Lepisosteus oculatus: one gene and its partners. The protein of the gene in region 1 binds, or shares a complex with, the protein of each later gene. Links are inferred from orthologs where the notes say so. Each region holds a gene or a part of one and is shown on either strand. Other genes may lie near its edges.

Region 1 (7,538 bases):
GGCCTTCTCAACTTTTCAATGTAAATTTTACTTTAAAATAAAAATGCAATTCTAGTTTTGTAATTCTATATTATTTGTAATACTTAATAGTCAGGGACACATTTTATCATGCAGTGAATAAGTATCAAAATCTAAGATTAAATGAGAGGTTAAAGTACTTTGTAATATCTTTTAAGGATATATATTATGACTACCAAACACCATTAAGAGATAATCAATTAAAAATTAAAGTGTTTCAGTTTTACTGCTCTGATATTAAGGTATGCTAGTGGTTCTATATTGTTCTAGAAAACCTCTTTTATATAGTACAACTATAACAAATGCCTTCAGCTTGCACATGCTGTGTATGCTCTGATAGGAGTTGTATGCAGGAAACCACATCAGATCCATCAAAATTGTTCATGGGAAAACATCTCCTGGTTCCATATGACACACAGTGCACCAGAGCACATGCACATGAGTTACAGCCCAACACAGCTACGGAAATAAAATAATGTCTAGCAAAAAAAAATCCCGAACTACAGGAGATGAATGTGTAGGTTTTATCCTATTTATGGAATCTAGTGAAGTATTTGTAAATATTTTCATATTAAAACGTAAACTACCTGAAAAAATATAACCTTTTCTAGAATGTTTAAATGTTTGTGGACCTAGTCAACATTTCTCCAGTTAATATAAAATAAACTTTTTTTTTTCACAAGAGCATCAAGTTTTCTTTTATCAGAACAGCAGATTACAATGATTCCCCAGCCATCCAGCTACTATAATGGTGGATGTTCATGATCAACTACTATAATCAGTATTTGTTAAATATAGTACCTAGGATATTTTCACCACAAGTGACAAAAGAAGAAATAAATATTATTCATGTTTTAGATATTGATTTCAAATGCATTTTCATGATCTCTCATACCATAATTTAAGCAACCCCACATCTGATTGCAGTAAATTCATTTTGAATCAACTACATAACACAAGAGTTGTCTTTAATGCACTGTTAAGAAAACAATTAACCACTGCCCCACAATATGTAGAAAAGTCAATACACTATTTCAAGCATGCAACATGTTGAATAACATTTGTAGATTCAGTGTAACTGGTTGTGGTCTTCTCAATTTTTCAATATATGAACTTTTTACTTTAAATTAAAAACTATAAATTCTAATCCCACAATTCTTTTTAGTTGGGCACACATTTTGGTATGTAGTAAATAAGAATGTGAATTCATTAAGAACCAACTAAATAATGCACAGTTGTCCTTTAATGCATTGCCAAGAAAACTGAAAGCCCTTGAACATCTAAATATTAACTGAACCCCAAAATATGTGGGACAATGCTTCCTCCATTACAGCAATCAAGGATTTTTCTTTATTCCTGAAACAAAATTTTACCATCCCCAAATATTTACAATTTCACTTTTACAATATCTGAGGTATACCTTTATAATTTGTATGAGTTGTACAATGAAAAAAAATACAAAAGTTCATATTATAATGTGGACACATTGTATACTGTAGAGCACACTTAATAAAACAAGGGTGTAAGTTGTTTGTGCTGAACATGGTCTTCCATTTACATCTCCATGTTGCTTTATTTCTGAGTAATAGGAAACGAGTTCTGGTCCATTAACTCTCCCACTCTCTCCTGTAGGATTTGAACTACTTCTGCTAAAATGAAGACGTGCGTGTCATCCAGGTCTTGAATGATGAATTTCTTCCCCAGAGCAGAAGTTTCATCCAAATACAGAAGAAACTGCTTCATGGCAGGATCACTACATTAAAACAAATACAAATACAAATACACATTTTAGAAAATGCAGGAATCTGACAACATACAGAGTGACTCTGTAAAAGTACTTGCTTTCTTTGAAGATTTTAGGTTACCTGTGTTTAGTTTTCTTCTCCTAAAATATTATAGATCAATAGTTGAAAACATTAGTAATATGATTTTACAATCTTGGACATTTTCTTATTATTGTACTGTATGTTTAAATTGTCACTACACACAAACAGCTTTTTAGCAGCTGCAGTTCACATGGAGCTCAGAATAGGAATGAGAAATGCCTGGATTTCATGAGTAAATTTCAAACAGTAAAAGTTGCCCAATGCACATTTAATGACAATTAGCCTATATCATTATTACACAATACTACAATTTGAAGCAAAATTATTGGAGACCCATTAACTGCAAATGCATCACCTCACTTAACCTCATTTCTTTTAAAAAATGGTTTTACTAAAAGCATTACAAATATTTATCCTACTACCTCATTAAATATCCTGAGCATAGCATCCTTAAGTTGAACACTAAAGTATCTTGAGAATGACTACAATCGATAAAATCCAAATTTTAGCCACAGAAATAAGATAAAAAGCAAAGTGTTTTAAACTCTTTAAAATTTATTTTACAAATAAGGAAGTAAAGGCACAGGGATATTTTTGAAATACAGGTAAGTTCTTTTGATGTACATACCATTCAACAAGAACTCCTTTCATAACATTCACCATTTTTCTACTTGTAGCTGTCCCACCTCAGAGACTCGTGATATGCACCTAGAGAAAGGTAAGTTGAAAACCAGGATAACTCTACAGTATCAATGATATGAAATAATGACCTCGTGTTCATTGTTCTGTACTGCCGTTATATATTACTGTGCTTTGTTGTACTGTCATGTTATCATTTACTATACTGTGAAGTACTGTGCACACTATGTGAAAATGTTGTCTTTTGTACTGTACTCGTCCCGAGAAAACCGAGCGAAAACGAATCCTAATGTACATATGGCGAATAAACTCCTCTCTCACACACACTTATGCATTTTAATGGTTATGCATGCATTCTTTTCGAAATTTATAACACATACAAACATGGTAATTGTTGTATCAGAGGAATTAATTATAAACAGCATTTAGATTAACTAACGCCATTAAAAACACCATCATTACTATTGAACAACCTATTTGTGTGGGTTTTACTACCAATACTAATGCACAGTATTAGACTGAAATACTTCTAGACATGCCAAAGAGCACAATGAGCTGCTGTATAGCTACGTGTAAAGGTTGTTAGTCAAGTTTCGTAAAAGCTTCACTGGAGCTGGATTATTTCTTTAATTATAATACAAAAATACACAGTCCTAAAGGCGTGCTAAGCAGAAATGCTAAACGATTTAGCTGTACTAAAGTTCCGTAAATAGTTTTTTTTTTTAATATCGAGAGGGTGAATAAGTGAAAACTCACCTCTGTAAAGCTACAAATCTCTAAATTTCAAAGCAGTGTACCCGTGCGTTTGCTAATATAACAGCAGCCGGTTACTTAAAAACAACCATGCGAAAAGCATTGTGGTACAGGATTTGTGGACGGAAAGCTAAACAGGACAAGATAGACTGCATTTAAAGGCGCAGTACACAACCCATTGAAATTGTCATGACCGTTTTGCCTGGTTTCGCGTAAGAAAAGGAACTTTGTTAAATTCTTCTGTTTCAAGAAGTAGTCTCAAGCTTTTATCTTCGAAAGGAATACTTAACGTTTCTCTTTTTAAAATTGTCTTTATCTCTCCACATTAACAATGCCATATGACATTGACATTCTCCGGATAAACCTCAGGTTCTTTAAGTACACCGTCGAGCCTTAAAAGACCTTAAAATTGGATTGCATCTTCTTTATTTACTATTTGAACTATGCTGCGATCTCTGAAAGTATTTTAACAACAAAGTTAAACCTTTGATTATTTGTTTCTATTTGTGATCGTGAGATTAATATGAATAAATAAAATGTTATTTTGGGTGCATGCATAACATGATATTCATTATATCAAAACATATCTAAAACATATTTTGTGTTCATCCAAGTGATCATAAGTATTGTCATATACACAATAAGCACTTTTTAGAATGTGAAAGTCAGTAGTTTTTTTTACATCTTAGAATGTGCCATCATTTGAGATGCGTACCTGCGGCCAAAGTAAATTCCTGGCTAACATTATCAAGTAATCTTTAACAACCAAGTAGTCAGGAAATTAGTTCAGTGTCTTATCTGGAGGGCAACATTACATACAGCTGTTTCCCTGGTCACCATGTTGGGGTGCGGCAGGTTTGGAAACTTTGGTACAGAGGATTGACATCTTATCCATTAACACCACTTACAGCAGCAAACTGTTTTCCTTGGAGACTGGCCATCCACTACAGATCATACCGTGGTGTGTAATCAATGGATCCACAGCATCCTAGTAGATTACTAGAGAGGATCTTTGGTGTGTTTTTGGTACACTGTAGAAGAGCAGTGTCCTTACAGATCTATACAAGTATACCAGTTTTCACAACACATGCTAACGAAGTCACAGTGGGTATTATTATTATTATTAATTATAATTCAAATCCTTACTTTAAGCATTAATATTATACACATTGATAATCTCACCCACAAAGTGTGTGGGGAGGGGTTGTTGGCCTTCTCTTGTTAAACAGCCTATATCTTTGTGTAAGGGGCTTGTTGTCTCATTTATTGGTGGATTTTCATAAAACAAAGTTTCAATTATATTATAAAATAACAGAGAGACATAGTCAATAGATCATTCAAAATTAATCTTATCTGCAAATACAGACAGGAAATGTTTACGGATGATGTTCACATAGTATATACTGTAATTGGAACGGCTTTCACAGGATTCCATGTAAGTAGGTACAAGGCAGACATTTAAAGAATAAGAATATTCTAAAGGAGAAAGCAACATTAAGAGACAAAGTATTAATAACCACACAGTTAATGTTAAAAGTTAATAACCACACAACTCCCAAAATGTAAATACAAATGCAAAAAATGTTTTAATAATATGGCATTCAAATATCATGTGATATTCTTTGAATATAAAGTGCAATGGAATTATACTTCTGAATATTTATTTGAGATCTGGTACCAGGGTTTGTAAACATGGGTTAAATATATTTCTTATCATTTATAATAATAATTTATTTAGTTTTTCCGCAATGCAAATTAATTTGCATTTCTGTGCAATGACATTTTAAGATTATTCATGAATAATCTATTTTACAACAGAAACAGTAAACTTAGTATCTTTTACAAATATTTAGTTCATGTAAAAGTAAAGACCTTCTATAATAAAAAATATACAGTATATATCACCTGAAGATTATAACTTTTATGTTCTTGTACACAGACCACTGCTCTATTTTTCCTGCTCAATGAAACAGTAAACTCTTGGTAATTTATGTATCCATGTCTGAGGCTTAATTAACACTGACATATACAGTATGCTATTAAAAATGCAAACACTACAAAACTCTTAGTTTCTTTTCCTTTGTTATCAAACTTTCATAACATGCAGTATGTTCTGTTGAATACTAATGTTATAGATCTGCTTTCAGTAACAAAATATTACGAAATCTTTATACATATGCAATATGGCAAAATAATGTCAGGTTTTTAAAAGCTGGATTTGAGTTTTAATTTTAGGATATGAACACTTGGGGAAGGTGCTTTCAATATATTGTCCGTATTGACAGTAATACGTTTTTATTAATTGTTAATGTGGCTTTCCAGTGCATCTCTGATGAACTGTAAACTGCGCTTGTAAAGGAAAGAATCCTTTTTCTGGGGTTTGCAGATATTTAGATGATCGACATCCACTTGAATGAGGTCGCCAATCCCCAGATCTGAAAAATTAATGGTAAACATGATTAAACGTTACATCAAAAATAATCAAGTGCTACGGTTTCCTGAACAAATGAAAAGAAATTCACAATATACAATCCCATGTGTTTTGGCTTGTGCTGCTTAATTTAAGTTATTATTAATTTCCCTTAATATACTGTATCTATTTTACCTCCCCGCAGGAGCCTAAGCACATACCTGCAGACTGCACTGGCACGACATGCATCTTCACCATAGGACCGATGCTGGTGGGTAGTGTTTCTGCAAAGCTTAGTATCTTGAACTTCCTTTCCTTGGCCATGCACAGAAAGCGTTCATTTAGTTCATTAAGTGCAGGGGAATCTGAAAAATGTGAAAAGATGTATTATGGATAGAAAAATGGTCATGTTTACTTAGAATTAAAATGGAATTGAAATTCCATTATCTTAGAATTAAAATATGCCACTGAGATGCTGTAAACATGGCTTTGACATATTAAAAGGTAATTTCCGTGTTTCTAACAACAGAAAGGTGTTCCCCTTTTAAAACATCAAACGTTTTCAACAGCTAGCAGTTGAGAGAATAACACATAAATCGTTACTATTAGTCTTAGGAAAAAAAACAACCAGGGCAGTGTTTGCATACATCATAACAAGAGGCATGCAGTATGTTTTATACTTCTTGGCACTGTGAAAATATTAAACCTAAAAAACTAACTTGACTAAATCCAATCATAAAACAAAGTGAATAAAAACTTTACCGAAAACTTTAAGTGATCTTACCTTTGGAGAGCTCCTTGACTTCTACCGAAGGAAACAGCAAATATTTGACAGTGACTGAATACTCAGCAATAGAGGTTCCATGATGAGGAACACTATAGAACATGATTCCTTGTGTATTTTTAATTAAGGACTGCATGTCAGGGTCCTTTAAGGCATCAAGGAGCATCTGTTTGACCAGCAAACCTGTGAATATAAGGAAAAACATCTAAGGTTGAAAGAGAAACTTCTAAATTCAAACTTGTAAAATCAAACAGATTCAGTTTGAACATGCCATCCATACAGTAAAGGGTAGGAGATGCCCAGTTCAAAATAAATGATTCTTTTTACTTTACTTCCTTATGTTCTATTCTTTGGAGGAGAGGTTAAGTGCAAGGCCTATCATAAGTGTCATTGCAGGAGTAGCATAATTCATCCTGTAGTCTCTGTAAGTTGCCTTGCACCTTGTCATGGAAGAGAAAAAGTCCCCAGAAACTGGAAATTCTTTGATTAAAAGCATACTGTATAAGATATAAAAACTGTAAAACAGACCTTAAGCTAAATTACATCTAGTGATGCACTTATCATAAGCTAAGAGGAAATAAATCCTAAGAAGTCCTATGACACCAGCAGGAAGGATTCTCAATACCACATGTTGCATGACTTATCAGTACTGTATGTGTGGGGTGATTGTTCATGATCTTAGGAGATGCTGGCCAGCCCAGTTGGACCCCTACACGACCTTGCATGAAGCAGACACCTAAGAGTTATGACACCTTTCCCTAGGATTCTTTCACACGACCTACGCGTGTTTGTAGCACTCACTACTTTTCAACTGAGAAGATAATTCTAACATGTCATGTTAGATGGTGTCTGGATGCAGATCTTATACAGTATAAAATTAAAAAATTGTGCCACATAGGCTTTGGATGCTACATATGTAGGTGAAAATTGGAGAACCTTTTTCTGGATTATATACTCAAGAAGGTGAGGATCTGGGGTAAAATTTGGAGAAATATAGTTGACATAATATCTTGTAGATATGCTGTAAAAGGAGAGATTTATCTGTTTGGTTGTATTTCTATGGAAAGCAAAGTGTTACCATTTGTTACCTAACTGATTTGACACAAAA
Region 2 (8,472 bases), on another chromosome or scaffold:
ATAAAACCGGCTAGAGGATGTTATTAGAAACAGTAAAAGCTAAAATGACAGAATAGCAAAAGGGGAGCCGTGCGCCAGCAGACCCCCGAGGAAGAGTGAAAGCACTGGTCGAGCGGACTGCAAGGGAGGCGCTTCCTTCTTGAGAGCCCTGGTCGAGGAATCAGGGGAGAGGGGAGGGGACTGGACTGGACTAGATAAGATCACTTTATTAGCCCTATACAATTTCTTGCATTAGGGATTTGTCTTTTTGAAGACCCCAGCTTGCTCTCCATGAGACACACAGACAGGGAGAGAAGCTGGGGGTCAGAGCGCAGGGTCAGCCATTGTACTGCAACCCTAGAGCGGTTGGGGTTAAGGGCCTTGCTCAGGGGCCCAACGGAGTAGGACTCCTCTGCCTCAACCTTCCAGCCACAGGCACAGATCCTGAGCCACAGAGCCACTGCTCCGCCTCTTTGAAAACTGGGGGACAGTTTTCAAAGTTTAGAAACTGAACTGGAAGGGAATCTCACAACTCTGTGAATGTTTATTTCAGAAAGCAACACTCGTGGGGTTTTTTAATGTTCTATAATGTCAAATGTCAAAATATCTGCTACACAAATTAAGGACTGCTGCTGTCTTTTAAAATGCAAACAGGCCACCACAGCAAATTACAGCAGTCAAAACTTCTGTCCATGACACTTCTGCAAACTTGACAGACAGGAAGTGGGAAAACGAGACTCCGTACTGTTCTAAGCTCCATGAGGACCTGCTCATCCACTCCCTCATCCAGGAAGAGCTCTCGGACGTCATTGATCACGTCTTCGATCACAGATCTGTACAGTTTAGGCTGAAACAAAGAAACGGACAGGAAAATAATTTTTTAATGTATGACCACAGACAGATGAATCAGCTCCCTTCTTCTGAAACTTACTCATCAATTAATTAAACTCTCAAACCTTTTTTCCATCTCAGCTGCAAACAGTGATCTTTGCAAACAGTGAAACTTGCAAGCCAACAGCAAATGTCTTTCGGCAACAACTGCACAACTGTGGATTTCGAAAGACGCAAATAAACAAACGGCCAGGCTTGACACAGATTTGTAAACCGTATGCGAGCAGGGTTTATAAATAAATCATGCCCTCTCTGTACACCACACTCCCATTTCACTCCTCCGCAGAGCTCTGTAAAGGAGAAGATTCAATTTACTCTGCGAGACAACACGATAAACACGGGAGCCTCTTGAAAGTTAGTTTTGCAGTGAAGAGCGACTAAAAATGAAGTCCAATTTTAATCATATGGATTTTTGTTTTTGTGAAGCAAGGACACATCATTCAATCTATCCTGTAGATTCCACTCATCAACTGCACTCAACACATTATTCAGGGGAACTTGTATACCCTCTATTCATATTTCTAAATCACATCGGCATAACTACACGGTTTCGGTGAGGGCTTTCAAGCACTTCGCAATTCACTTGAAGTCTCCCGGACAATTTCCAAGAATTTGTCCAACTTGGGATCCGGCACTCAATGGCCATTGTGGCACCTCTTGGAAAAGGCCACGGCCTGGCCTCTCCCTGCACTCCTGCTGCGCTACGGACTGGTTGAAATCTTGGGACACCCTCCCGGTCCCCGCCTCCAGGATCCGGACGGGCAAGCTCACACGGTGCGGCACGGCTCGACCCCGCTCGCCGCTCCAGACCGGCTCGGGAGCCCGGAAGCCCATGCACACACATGCTCCTCGACAAACGCGTTTCACAGGACGGCACAGCGCACCTACACGGCGTTACCGCGGGGGGGCGGACAGGTACAGCACCCACACCAGCCCCTCCCCGCCCGACAGAATCAAAACCATTTTTCAGAGAACCGCGGCTCTGCAAACGGCGCACAAGATATCGGGCTAGTGCGCGCCGGCAAAGCGGCTCGGCGGGCTTCCTCTCGCAGGAGGACGGACGGGCGGAGGTTGTCCAAGCGGCCGGGCTCGGCTGGACCCGGCTGGGCTCGGTTCCGACGGGCGAGCACGGCCGCCGTCTCGGCACGACGTCCTCCGCACTCGCGCCTCCCCCGGCCGGCCGGCTCGTCTGCTCTCTATTTAAACCCCCGCCTGGTGTTTATATGGCGAGCCTGTGACGTAGCCGCGAGTAGCACCGTCCCATCCCTGGCAGTCTATATTAGAGAGCAGCCATGGCTCTATATAAAGACGGAGGAAAGGCGGAGGACCAGAGCGGCGGAGGGAGAAGGGAGGCCGGCCGCACTGGCGGAGCCGGAGCCGGGCGACACGGAGCTGCCCGCGTCCCGTCCCGGAGGGAGGAGGGGGGTTTGGGTGGAGGTGACCATTTCACACACACGAACTGGGGCCGAATCTCCAGGATCTGTGAAATGTTATGAGGACGACTCCTTAAAATAAGAGAGGGATTCTCCCCCCCCACCCCACACAGACGCTTTTACATTTTACGTTTCATTCGTGTTAAAACGCAAATTGCGGGCCACTACTGTTCCAATGCGGGGAAGCGCTGTAAATCTACAATATTTTAGTCGGTAGGACTGCCAAGGATGTTACCTCCGTTAGTGAAAGAAAGTGCTTCACAGAAGAAAGGTACTTTCCTAATGGAAAGGCTAAAACGAGCTAGAGTCCCTACTGAACCACAATAAAACTGCTTTTTTTTCCCCAAACGATATTTTTAAAATGCACCTAAAACTCCAGCATTGTGCCAATACCCTGTAAATGCATTTTCCCCTCTTGTCTACCATTAAGAGCTGCAACAGCCCAAGCAGGCATTAAAAAAAAAACCTAAGCAGCCATTATACCAGTGTTTCGAAACCAAATCTTGACAGTAAAATAACTCAAAATCCCAATGCTCATGTTACATTGCAAACAAGAGTACATCTCCTAGGGGAGACATCCCTGCGCTGCAAGAAGAAACACTGCTCTTTTCATGTTGCTTTCTTCACAAAACCCCCCACGTTAGCTACAAATCAGTGAGATGCAACCGCACTGAGGCTCAAAATTTGGTCTCGCCGAGAAGTTCAACGAATGGCTGCTCGGTTCTTTCCCTCTCTCTTCCCCTGCCTCAGCTGCCCTGCATGTTGGACGGAAGGATATGCCCCCCTGTGAGAGTGTCGACACTCGGTCGTTTCGGCAGCACGAATGCAATCGGCGTCATTATCTGACTGACTGCTCTGGAGATCAGTCCTTACCACGGGATTCGAGTTAGCCGAGCTCGCCATTATGAGCCGAGTGTGTGAAAAAAAAAAACAACCAAAACCCACTGCTAAAAACAAAACGGAAACGTCAGAGACTAAAACATCTAAATCCGATATTTAAAAGAACCCCCCCCCACCCAATTCGGCTTGGGTTTTTTTTTTTAAAAGAAATTAAAATACTATGCACTTATACTAGTCCCAAGGGCTGCGCTGTCCAGCCGTCCTCCGCGCTCCGCCGCCCTCCTTTATATACCGAGCTGCGAGTGCGCGAGACACAGCCCTGGTCAGCGCGGCGCGTCTCGCGAGGCCTCGCCCGGGATTTTCCGCGCAGGACGCGAGATTTCCGACGCCCCCACATCCGGGGGCTCTGGGCGGAGTGGCCTGCTGGGAATTGTAGTCTTTCGTAGTTCGGTGGAGTAGGTAGCAGCGTCAGCACGGGTAGGCTGCAAAGGGGCAAGTCCAGGTTTATTCCATATGTCACACCTGAAGAAAGGCTCCACCTTGCGTTTCTTCTCAGCATGGAATAAACCTTGACTTGCTCCATTGTCGTCTTTATTTTATGCGCCTGATGCGCCTCCCGGGGAGGTGAAGAGCTTGCTGTGGTGTTGTCGTTTCTCGGTGAAGCATGAGGGGTTTGGGGGCTCCCCAGCCGAAGAACAGGAGTAGGATTGCGCTTGCTCACATCTATAATAATAATAATAATTGCTTACACTTATATAGCGCTTTTCTGGACACTCCACTCAAAGCGCTTTACGGGTAATGGGGATCCCCTCCACCACCAACATCTCGTAGGGCGACACGTGTCTGCAACGCTGGGATGGGTTGTTTATTTAACAAACACGATTCCCTTTTTAAGCTTTAACCCCCCCCCCCAGTTGGACCACTGAGTACTGGGGTGGGGGAGGGTAGGAACTAAGCTATCGTTACGGCGTTGTAATGGGATCTAAAACACAGCAACACACAGACAAAAACATTGCCAAGTCCGATCCGTGACTACACGTCCAAGCGAAGACGCTGATGCAGCTCTTTCTCGGCGTGAGTCGGATAGACTTGGTCTGCCGCCGCTGTGCCGTTACTTGTAGAAAAAAGTACTTTACTGTATCATACCGCACCGAATCAACGGGCGGGCTTTTCGTGAGGTTGCTGGGAAGCTGACTGTTTCCAGAACCGCTCAAGCTTCGGTTCCGACCCGGGCAGGGCAGGTGCGCAGTCTGGTCCCAGGATGGGATAGCGCACTCTTGTCTGCTGGGCACCGGGGTGATTCCTCGTCCTGCTGTTTGACGTGCGGGACGTCTTTCTCCAGCAGCTCTGCATGTTTTTGAAGTGGGTCAAAGGGCTTTTATATTATGTCAAGCTCCAAGGTATCTAAACTGTATTGCAGATCTTTAAAGCCGTGGTGTACCACTGCAAAGACGAACACGTGTTAAAAACTGAGATTGTATTCTGTCAATACACAAAAAAAAATATTAGAAGCAGATAGAAGAAAAAATGACACAGCATACGAAACGTGTATCTTAAACTTTTATTCCATCACAAAGAATAAAACAGGAGCAACAGCAGGATATCTTTAAGAGTACAGCTTTCAGATGCTAGTTCATTTGAGTTCTACCTCAAAAACACGTGCACAATAAATTAATTTAAAAAACCCCAATTTCTTAAGAGAAATGGGTCTCATTAGCTGCATTATTTGAAGACAAATAAGATGTATGATTGAAGCACGATATTAAATTATCCAGGTCTCTCTGGCCACTGCAGCATAAAAAAACTAATGACCTCTACCAAAGCCAATTAACCCACAAATAATTACCTGCATGTGTGAAAACCTGTCCAGTCACTTGACTGCAATCTTTCTGAATGCGTAAAGAGCCAACTCCATACTGTACATATCTTGGAAGATAGTCTTTTTAGAACATCATAGAAACATAAGAACATTGTTGGTACTGTTAGCAGCTGAATAAAATCAGAAATTAGAGTTGGATGCAGAGCTTGTGTCTTGTCAACCATCTTGGGACAGTTCTGCCCGTTTACATCAAGACCGATCAAAGACCATTCCTGCTCAGAATCGAGTTCATGGTAATTAGGACTATACAGGTTTGATATACAGTACTAAACTCCATTTTGAGCAAAACCGCCTTTAGATCCTTTTGCAAACAGATGATGTTTGCTTGAGGACCATGGTTTGAATGAGGGAGCATTGCTCTGGCTCTGCAAACATGTTCACTGGATCCTTCATGCACTGATGACTAGTTTTTAGTCCACTGAAGTCATGGGGGTGTGACCATCAGATGTGGTATATCTCTGCCTCTGCTCCAGTCTGACAAGTCGGGACTATATCTGCACTCTCACCACTAGAGCATAAGAAAACCCAAGGGTTTAAAAACTAAAACAAAAATCTTTTTCACCTAAATCCGGTATAACTGTAAATCATTCAAAAGTGCAATTGATTCAGTTAATCAGACACACGATGGTGTTGCCTTCATTTACAGTAACCTGGATGTGAGGCTTCACAGAATTTATTCAAGGTTTTTATTAGTTTAGAAGTTCTCTCTACGTGTTCAATGTACTGTACTTGACAAACATAAAACAGTCATAGTGCAACAGGTACTACAAATTTGGTTTGCTACTTTTATTTCATGTACTATTTAAAATAGCTTTTTAGTATCTTAGTGTTATTTGCTTTTTCTCAAAGTGCAGTACAAGTTTTATTTTATTCACACTGACCAACTGTAAATAGTTTTAAATAATACTGTACAGCTAAAGTACAACGGAAGTTCTGTAAATTTGAAAAAAGACTTTAATCCTACAAATGTGTTCTTCTCCAAATGAAACTTTATAAACTTACAGTAGTTAAATGCTTTTTAATTGCTGAATTACCAGGATTATCTATGGCCTCACATCGTTAATACAGAAATAAAAAATGGTTTAAAACTCAAAAGCTGGAACAGAGTTTTTACTTAACCATCACAGACACAACAGTCCGGATCACTGTCACTTGTTACAAATAATTTTTTTTCCTCTATATCCTTGTCCTTCAGTCTCTCTCCTTCATGTGTATAATCCTAAATCTCTTCTCTTACCAAGCGTGTTACTTTAAAAGGTGATCACTGTCGCCCTGAACAAAAAACAACAAGCTACTGTCAGATCAGCAGGTTATAGAAGCACAAATGGAAGACACAGAGTATTCGTTCCTGGTTCAAACAAAAACTCTTCAATCAAAAATGTCTTTTAATACACAGCAGGTCTATGCAGTTTACCCAGCCTTAACCTCACAGAACAAATCAGAATCTTGAATCTTGGATAAAGTTTCACTGAAAAAGCCCTGATGTACAGCATTATAGGAGGTTGTGGTTTCAACACTGTGATGTACCATAGTCAGACTGTAACAGTAATGTAACACAACCTCTGCTATAATTTATTTAGAAGTTATTTGAGTCTTTCTGGTATGGAAGGCAATACAATTTTATATATTTACAACATAGCTTTTTATGTCTAAATAACATCGTTGATTAAAGCTTTCAAGTTTTTGTGTTTGCTTCAAAGGAGTCATAATTTAAGGTGCAAATTTTAAGTTCTAAATAAAGACTTCAGTGCACCAGGTTCAAATCAAAATGGTGTTCAACACTCAGCATTAAACCTCATTACCGTAACATTAAAAACTTACTTTACAGCATAATAAATGTTTGTATAGATACTGGTCTGAAGGCCAGTACATAACAACCGTTGAAATGAGAATGATCAGCAGTAGTTTACATATCTGAGTAGGAAAATATATTAAAAAAAATAGAAGTAAGCATTTCTACTATTGTGTGTTATCATGAAAAAAATGCATAACAGTAGTACTCTGCCACCAAGCAAAAAATCTTACATATGTGTTATTTCACAATTTTTAAACTGCTTTTGAGTATTTCCTCTTTTTATACAGGAAACATTCCAGTTCTTTCATCCTAATGCTGAAAAAAGCAACTGTAAAAACATCAGATGCTGAAAACCATACAACAAAGAATTTTGGTTTAGATATATACAAACTACAGTTTTACTACTTTTGTAGAAACAATGCAAGTTAACTTGCCTATATCTAAACTAGGTGAAATCCAAATGTGAAGGCACCTTTGTTTCAGATTGGTTTTGTGGAAAAAATGGTTAGTATTCAAGTTTATATTTTTGATATTTTTCAATAATATCTTAAGGATGCTTTTTAATTAAGCACCTTTTAGCCTAAGCACATTCTCAGAAGAGCACTGCTTGATCAGCTGTAAAAAGTGCCTTATGTAAACCTGCATGGTTAAAAAATCAATTACCAAAAATAAACACATCAGCAGCAGCTGTCAAAACCCATAATTCCCAAACGCTAAATGTTTAAAGCAGGCAATCCTGTCTCACAGCTAATAAATTAGTTAATACAAGGACAAGTCGCTCTTTCAGACCACATAGGCCTTTCCCTTTTGGAAAAACAATATTAAAGTCCATTTCTATCGCCATCTAAAAATCAGTGTGTTAGGTGATGCCTTTTTGAATATTTTTTCCCCAAAGTGCAAAGCTCTTCGTTCCTGTGAAAGAGTCACTGCTGTGAGCACCGATTTGGTTTCTCTGTTTGCAGGCTGTTCAGATCCTCCGCCAAATCTGTTTTCTGCTCCATTTCCACCTGTAAAAAAAACACGGAAAGTGGGACTGGGCACCACAAAACTGAGGCAGCCAGAGGTCAACACTACAGTGAATGGCGATTCTTCACTGGGCCACTAGATGGGACCAAAGAGCCATGAGGTGAGAAGATGGGATTACCGATTTAGCTTGCAATTTAACATGGCAATTAAAACATGACACACCGAGTCTTGTCGCATAAACCTTCCTTTTTCGATTAAAGTGGCTTCAACGAGATTCTGCATCTCGACTCAGAGATGAAGATGACTCAGACTTAGATTGAATAGCTGCAAATCTAGTCCCCCCCAGTACTGAATGTTCGATCCGTTTATTTACGTCTTACGTACTGGTGCTGTGATTTCATGGACTTCATGCGATTTTATGCGCGTTTTATGTTTTGCTTGTGCTTTTTTTGTACCTTTAAGGGAGAAGCCAAAGATGATTTCCCACACTAGTGGACAACAAAGTATCTGTTTTTATGTTTTTAATCCTTTATTAACCGAGAGCCAGGCTTCGGGTCAAGCAGCCACCTGCGAAAGTTTGCCGACAGCACTGTTTTGGGCTCAAGAGCAGCAGGTGTGAAGGAGTGAAAGCAAGAAGCCATTCATGTATTCACGCCCTCGAGGCACGAGTCTGCCTGTGAATTGTGGCG
Region 3 (8,129 bases), on another chromosome or scaffold:
CTCATTTTTATCCGACTGACCCTTTAAACCAAACCAATTTACAATGGAACTCAAAACTGGGTATTTTTACATCCTTTTATTAATTTTCCAACAAAATTCAAATACCATCCATCATTGAAAAACAATAAGATTAAGAGAAGAAAAAAATCCACCATGAAATAGTATACAATAAAAGAAAGATAAAGATAAAAAAATTATCTCCAGTCTTCAACTAGTGACATCCATCCTGTCCTCTCCTCCACATTCAGTCATCCCCCCACCATCCACCCTAACCCCTCCTCCCTCAGTTTGGGGAACCCACAGAGGGATTCACTTTCATACTCACTGACCCTTAAGCAACAATTCTGTTAATGCCACTGGCAAATACTCTGTAACAGGTGACCATAGTTTATGATCTTCTGTTCTCCTATGGAAACTGCACTAAGCCTTCCATAGGGCAGTACACTACAACATTCACCATACCAAAATGTAACAGAGGGTGTTTTTCTTAAACCAGTTGGTTAAAATACATTCCCTTAATAAGAGAAATAAATTATCCAGAAATTGATATTGTGATGGGAGAAACGTTATTTTAGAAGGTAGACCAGAAATGAGGAGCCCAGTGTCCAACTTTATTTTAAAATGGAAAAATATCAAAGCCAGGTATTGTTATTGGAGTACTTCAGGTGAATTCCTTTGGTCAAAGGTACAAACAGCACTGTCTCAGCTGGAGTTTAACCTTCCAGTTTCAGAGACCTAACCCCTGCTGCACAATGCTGCTCTAGCTCTCAAAAAAACCCTGGTGTGAAGCACATTTCTGCAACAGCAATGGACAAAACTAAACAATGTGGGGGATCGCATCAGAATAGGGAGCAACACAACAATGTAAAGCTCAACTTACGTAAGATTTCGGAGTCTAGCTTCATTTGGCATCATAGGAGAAGGAGCTCCATCTCTCTCCCAGTGCGTAGGTTTGGAAAGATAAATCTGCTCAAACTTCAGCAGGTAACGTGGCTAGAACGAAAAGATGACAAGAGGTGATAAACATGCAAAATCCACCCATTGATTTCACAGAAATCGCCCCTACTGTGGGCAAACCGCCCCCTGCACCAATTAATCAGACGTATCTGTGCATCAATACATATCACTACACTTTCAGACTGCTTGGGGTCACATGCCGGAAAAATCTTTTCAAGCCGTCGAGAGACTCACGGGCTCCTCCACTTCTCCAGAGGTGTGCTGGGCCTCAGCCTGCAGGTCGATGGGTGGGGCATCCTCCACAATCCTCTGTACTGACATCTGGATGAACTCATCGAAAGAGTCCAGCTGCTGCCTCACCAAACCCTTTTCATCAAAATAAGAACTACGAAGACAAGAACAGGCCATCCATTACTAATACCATTCTCCCCCTTTGTGCCCCAAATGTGGAAAAAAACCTGGGCTGAATTTGCTTTGAAGATCTGCATTACAGGAGATGATCACTACTGCTTCTATAGATATAGGTCAGAATAACTGCACAGAAAGGAAGAATGCTGACTGCATCAGACAAACTGCAGCTTGCAATGTTAAGAATGACAGTGAACTATAGACTATCTTCATTAAAGCCCAACATTTCCTTCTGTTTTAGAACTTTAAATACATTCTGATTCATTACAGCCAAATCTGTGAAACCCTTTACCAGAAATGTTTTTAACTTTGTATATCTGTATCAGAAAAAAAATGTGCTTTTTTAAAAAAGCAGGATAGAACTTGACTGGACATAAACAGACAAACATATATATGAATATATAAGGGGACACACTTAAAACAAAATGAAAAACAGTTCAACTTTTGCAGTGGAGAGCCACAATCAAGTAGGTCTTATAGGTCATCCTTAAATTATATCTTTGTAAGGACCTGCAACATGTGGACTGTGATCAGTTTAGTCAGGTAACTGGTTCAACTAAATCAGGAATGACCAACCTTTAAACTGTGTAGCTTTAAAAAATGAACAAAACTGAAATTATTCATTTCAGTTCTCAAGTCTTTACAATTGTTTGTAGGAAAACTAATGGTGACATTCAAAATCTGCTGGGTTGTACGTCACTGGGACCAGGGCTGGACTTTTACAGCACAGAAGAATGTTGAAATGTGAGTATTAAGTCAAAAATAAGATCAATAAAATCAAAAGATAACCCTAAAAGGTGAAGGTGGTTAATATGTTATATTTTTTAGGCTGCTCACCTGATGACAATCCAGCAGGCTTCCTGCCACAAGTCTGGAGTGATCTCATCGTCATCTTCATCATACTGAATATCTAAACAAGACCACAGAATTGTAATATTAAGGGAGCCCCATCCACATAAAATATTATGCTCTCTTTGGACTTCCCCCTAAAAAAGTATTATTCACAGGCAGTTACCTTCTACAGGAAGAAAGCTTGCTGCATATGAAACTAACAAAGAAAGGTAAGATGGCCCTTAATGCATTTGATTTTCACAGAAACTGTTTTTACACTACATGCGTGGTAAAAAGCTTTTCAAGAGACATGGTACTTGGACCTGCTATCTCACAGCTCTGGAGACAGCGTGCCGCCTATGCAGAGTTGATCGCACTGCATGTACACATATGAATTTTCTCCAGGCACTTTGCTTCATTCCACTTCCTAAAGGCATGATCAAGGATAAAAGGAGCAAAAAATCTTTATTCTCCTCAATAACCTGCCCTCTCTGAAGCAGCTTTGTTACAATGGCGACACGAGTGTGATTGTTTGTCGAAAGACAGAACTTAGACTAATACATCAGGAGGCATCTGTTAACTTCACCGAAATTGACTTTTATAACGTTTGCTACTCTGCAACCTTTTCGAACATTAAAGAAAAGGCCACGTTTTTAATTCCTAAGGACAGTGGTACGCAAAATGAGATGTTAGAACCACCATGAACTAATTACCGTTCCTCCGATTTCATTTTCTGGCGTTTCTTGATAAAACTGAAATGCCAAAAGCTTTTTGGAAAATCACCTTCCCTATTTGGATGTAAAGCTCTCGCCTGTTGAATGCATTTCAAAATACAAATTTAGAACTCATGTGCTGAAAGTGACTGTAAATACGAACGGTTTAGACTGAGAATGTTGAAAACGAAGCACAATATTTCTAAAACAAACTTCAGGATGCACAAAATCTAAATAACAGATGTCGTTAAACGTGTCAGAGTTAATGGCACAATTCATTTTGCATTTATAAGACACCTCTGTACAATACAGACCAAAAATCAAAGAACGTACCCTGACGCCATGTTCAAAATATTGTTTAAAAAAAGAACTAAACAAACCAGATACCTACCTTCATCTTGATCATACATATTGGATTGAAGGTACTTCCTTTATTGACTCCAAAAGAAAAAAAAACACTTACAAATACGTTGAATTAAAAATAAGTGCGCTATAACCCTCTACTTCCATCCACACCACCTGAACACAACAGTACGAGATATCGATGGTGTATACGTCACTTCCTGCAGGCTTTCGTGACGTCAAACGAAACATTTTAAAATAATTGAACCACCAGAAATATGTTAATTGTAATTGATATTCTCAATAATAATACAAAGAGAATCGTGATAATAATTATTAATAATAATTTCGGATGGTTTGATGTGGTAATCATATACGTCACAGGAGTCAGAGTACTAAAAATGGAAGACTCCTAGACGCACCACATGTGTATGTTATTATTTGCCATTCAAGGTTCAACTAAGAAGAAAAAACGTAACCTTTAAAAAAATATTTCAAGTATAATTTCTTTTTTAATTATATTAAAAATGCAGAGGTTATACCGACTAAAGCAATGTGCTCCTGCTTGTTATTGCGCCCGGAATGTGTTTCCTGTATTTTTACCAACTTTGGGGGACAGACAAGGTAATCGCTGTTCATCTATTCTACGCAATTGTCCAGGACTCTGTAGAAAAGTGCCAACTTTTAAGATCTTCTGCTTGGAAGACACGTGGACGTCAGTGGCCCGCTGTTACAGCACAACGCAAGCGGCAATCGGCGACAGCGGAAAGCAGGGACGTCTTGGAAACTCTTACACATCGATTGAACCAGAAAAAGAAGAAGAATTCGTCTTTCTAGACTACTCCAACCTAGAGGAAGAGAACGATGATGGGGTTTCTTTCAAACCCCCTTCGCAGATGGGGTCTGTGGCCAATAAAGAGAGAAACGCATCGCGAAAGTCGTGTACAGAGGTGTATCACAGAGCTTTGGAAATACAGATGCGGTTATTAGAAGATACAGTGTTAGACCAGGACCAGGACGTACAAGAAATGGATATAGAATTTCATGACGCTGGCTTCCCCCTTCCTAAATTAACTTCTAAAAGGAAAAAATCTCAAAAAATATACGGCACTCCAGATAAGGAGATTCCTTTTAGTGACAACAGCTGTTCGGGATGCGGTGCTCGTATGCATTGCACTGACCCGATTTTGCCCGGTTATGTACCCAGTGAGAAATACAAACAGCTAATAAAGGAGGACAAGATGGACAGAGCGGTGTGTCAGCGATGTTTCTTGCTTGTCCATCACCAAAAGTCTTTAAATATTCAGGTTTCGAAAGAAGAATATCGGAATGTTGTTAGTCGGATACGCCAAGAAAAAGCTTTGGTATTGTTCATTGTGGACCTTCTGGATATTCCCGATTCTATCATTCCAGATCTGTTAGAACTAGTGGGCAAAAATAAAACCATAGTGGTTCTGGGAAATAAAATAGATCTGCTACCTGGCGATTCGGATTGCTATTTAAAACGAATTAAACGTCAGCTTTTTGCATATTGTGTTGACGCAGGTATTACTTTAGGCGATGGCACCAAAGACGTCCATCTCATCAGCGCCAAGACCGGCTATGGGATAGAAAACCTAATTTCGAGTCTTCAAAGATCGTGGAAATATAAAGGAGATGTGTATTTGGTTGGAACAGCAAATGCTGGAAAGTCTACACTGTTTAACACCCTGCTGGAGTCAGACTACTGCAAGTCGAAAGCTCCAGATGTGATTCAGAAAGCTACCATATCTCGATGGCCAGGTAATTATTACTGTACATTTGCCAGGCTGCAGGCCAGTGCAAAGTGAAGACCCGCTCTCTTTCGTCGTAGAAGCCTATGAAGGCACTATATAATGCAGTGAGGTTTAGCATGATTTGCAGAGAAACTGCCCATATGTCTAAGTAAAGGCCTTGCAGTGCCAAGTTCAAGTTATTAGGATATGTTTATGTGAAGTCTTTGTATGAACAGTGTAATAAACCTCAGTCTAAATCACTAGATGTTTTGATGATTGAGGAAGAAATACCTTTCGCTATTCCCTCAGCTCAGTGTATGAAAAGTATTGTTTTCCATCTGTCAAAACCTAAATTTATCCCATGTTAGGTGGTCATATTTTAGGTTGTTGCAGATGGAAGCAGACACTAACCTATCTGTTCTTCATGAGGCACCACACTAAATCTCCTGAAGTTCCCAATCATCAACCCCACTCCATATCGCATGTTCAAGAGGTCTGAGAGACTGAAGAGTGATGGCTCTCAGTCAGAGAAGGACCTGAGCCCACAGGAGTTAAGACGACTGCAGCAGCTCAGCAAGCAGGGATATTTAGTAGGTAAGAGTTCTGACTTCTATGACAGTACCAGATCAACATTTGTTCAGGCCTGAATAAATTAAAAGGAGACAGAATAAAAACCCTGTGACTAAATCTAAACTTCCCCTTAACCCTAACTTAAATGACACAGTGAAACTCTTAACTCTAACCCTATGCTCCCCTTAACTCTCAGTCCTCACTTTAACTTACATTCCAGCATCTGGTACCTTAACACAGCCTGGTTTCAAGCCCATAATTATAATAATAAACCTATTCCTGTTCCTCCATGACCCTGATTTCTTCAAGAGCCCAATGAAAGACTTCCTGTGGGGGTGGAGTTGCCACACTTGCACGGTTGACAAGGAATTTGTCTTCCCTGTTCATTTCAGGGCGAGTTGGCAGATCTTTTGGCTCGGCTGTCCAGGCGCAGAAAGATATGGATGTTGTGGATTTTGATCTAGAAAGTCTCAGTGTGGGAGAGGAGGAAGAAGACAGAATGAGTAAAAAATCAGCTCTTTCCAACCCAGTGGAGTTCACCCACAACGAGCTCAAAGATGCGCATTGGCTGTATGACACCCCGGGAATTATGAAAGAACACTGTGTGAGTGCTTTTGCTAAAACGTATTGTACGTTTAGCCAATGCAATCTTTGTGCTTAGCTGCAGAATAATTACTACATGCACCTAATATATTGAATCAGACATGAGTCATGAGTGCAGCATCATGTCAGATGTAGAGCTCTTCTCTGACTGAAACACTTACTGTCTGCTGGTGCCCATGGTCAGTTATTGCTATCCCTATTAGTTAAAATGTGCCATCTTGTAGTTGTTTTTATTCCAGGCAGACATGGGAAGCTTTAGTACTGATAAGCTTGATTATTTCCCAGAGGAAACTGATTGTCCTACACTGACTCCAGCTCCCTTTTCCATGTAGATGCCCCTCAGAACCTTATATGTGCCCATAGAGGTCGCCTCTATCAGACCCACGTACAGACTTCTTTCTTGTAGTCATCCAGAACACCAGGCAACGCGTTATAGCTCTCAGACACTATGAACTTGCAGGGGTTTGGAAATTAGAACTAGTGGCTCAGTTGTACAGCAGTGGATTTCTTGAGCAAGGTCAACATGGAAGTAGGAAGGGTAGCTCTTTGCATAGCTTTAAACAAGCAACAGAAGTAATGGATACAAACAGAGTATATTTTGATTTTCCAAAGGCTGTTGATAAAAGATTCATTCTCAATAGGTAGTAGGGAGTCAAGCTACTGTATGGATTTGGATTGAGAACTGCCTAATGCATAGAAAACAGTGAAGGGTTAAATGCTCAAAACTGGGTGATGTTATTTCTGAAGTACCACAAGTCTCTGTGTTAGGACCACTCCTCTAAATCAATTTTTAATTTATATTAATGATCTTAATGGGATTAGGTTATTAACTAGTCACGTTCACAGATGACACCAAAATAGGAGGATGAGGATTAAAAACAATCTGTAAAAGATCAAGGCAAACTTTAACAAATGGCAGACAGCATTTAATGCAGACACGTGTAAAGTGTTTGTAACAGGGCGCTGTGTATACTGTGTGCCCATGTTTGAAAGCCTATTGAAATAAGCAGTTCTGCTATTTAATCTCTTTGCATTTTGCAGGTTCTCAGTCAGCTCACAGATGAAGAGTTGAAGATGGTGGTACCAACTCAAGCCATTGTGCCCAGGACGTTTGTGCTGAAGCCGGGAATGGTGCTCTTTTTGGGCGCCCTAGTGCGCATAGATTTCCTTAAGGTGGGTAAATTGTAGAGGTCATGACCATTTGGTTTTGTGCCCATGGTGTCATACATGGACTAAAAAGTAAAATGTTTGTTAACTGTTTTTAGAGTATGTTCCCCAATTCAGCATGGACATAAGTGACACTTTAAATGCAGTTGTGTTAAATGTTGTGATGTAAAATAAACGCAAGTGACAATAGTGGATTACGATTTCAGTGAAGTTAAAAGTGCCAAAAGGATAATTGAGGCAAATAATGGTAGTTTGCAATATTACATGCTGATTTTGGATGTAATATTGCAATATTACCAATATTACATACAGATTTTGCTTGATTATTCAATAGGTATCTGTACAGATTTTTTCGTAATAAAAGTACCACAAACACATCGCCTGGAGGAGAACTGGGACCCCAGAGGTCTATTTGCTCCCACAGGAATTTTTTGTTTTCCCTTTTTTTGTACTCTTGAGGTCTACTGTTGCTGTACAGGATTGTTAACTGCTGTATAAATCTGCAAAGCAGTCTGTGGCAAATGATTTAAGAGAGATTTAATATTTTTTTTCAAATGAGATGCAACAATGAGATTCAAAGGAGATAAAAAAATATTTTAGGCATGAGTGGTGCCATTAAGATTCTTGTGCACTCCATGAGTGGTAGCCTGTTTCACTTTAAAGGCTCTTCTTGCCTTAGGGCGAGAGATCTTGTTGGCTCTCGATTGTCGCCTCCAATCTCCTGCCAGTTCACATCACCAGTGGGGAGAAAGCAGATGACATTTACCAAAAGCATGCTGGGAAT

What was found. Proteins that work in one complex are often made in the same cells at the same time.
Region 2: gtf2h5 (region 1) and gtf2a1 share a complex: the UniProt entries of both Homo sapiens proteins name them as parts of the TBP-based Pol II pre-initiation complex. The link is inferred for Lepisosteus oculatus from reciprocal best matches to the Homo sapiens genes GTF2H5 and GTF2A1.
Region 3: gtf2h5 (region 1) and polr2b share a complex: the UniProt entries of both Homo sapiens proteins name them as parts of the TBP-based Pol II pre-initiation complex. The link is inferred for Lepisosteus oculatus from reciprocal best matches to the Homo sapiens genes GTF2H5 and POLR2B.

The regions. Positions count from the first base shown.
Region 1 is NC_090697.1:48,834,039-48,841,576, reverse strand, and holds gtf2h5 (general transcription factor IIH subunit 5), read right to left. Parts: upstream 3,346-7,538; 5' UTR 3,240-3,345; intron 2,553-3,239; 5' UTR 2,508-2,552; coding exon 2,473-2,507; intron 1,772-2,472; coding exon 1,591-1,771; 3' UTR 970-1,590; downstream 1-969. Other genes in the region: protein SERAC1, read right to left, coding at 5,535-5,671, 5,868-6,011, 6,431-6,613. UniProt on the Homo sapiens protein: Component of the general transcription and DNA repair factor IIH (TFIIH) core complex, which is involved in general and transcription-coupled nucleotide excision repair (NER) of damaged DNA and, when complexed to CAK, in RNA transcription by RNA polymerase II.
Region 2 is NC_090703.1:2,817,759-2,826,230, forward strand, and holds the start of gtf2a1 (transcription initiation factor IIA subunit 1), read right to left. Parts: upstream 3,451-8,472; 5' UTR 3,207-3,450; coding exon 3,177-3,206; intron 827-3,176; coding exon 725-826; intron 1-724. Other genes in the region: ston2 (stonin-2), read right to left, coding at 7,741-7,824. UniProt on the Homo sapiens protein: TFIIA is a component of the transcription machinery of RNA polymerase II and plays an important role in transcriptional activation. TFIIA in a complex with TBP mediates transcriptional activity.
Region 3 is NC_090696.1:33,268,059-33,276,187, forward strand, and holds the start of polr2b (DNA-directed RNA polymerase II subunit RPB2), read right to left. Parts: upstream 3,451-8,129; 5' UTR 3,320-3,450; coding exon 3,301-3,319; intron 2,276-3,300; coding exon 2,203-2,275; intron 1,343-2,202; coding exon 1,192-1,342; intron 994-1,191; coding exon 881-993; intron 1-880. Other genes in the region: noa1 (nitric oxide-associated protein 1), read left to right, coding at 3,779-5,033, 5,435-5,599, 5,968-6,179, 7,220-7,351, 8,025-8,129. UniProt on the Homo sapiens protein: Catalytic core component of RNA polymerase II (Pol II), a DNA-dependent RNA polymerase which synthesizes mRNA precursors and many functional non-coding RNAs using the four ribonucleoside triphosphates as substrates.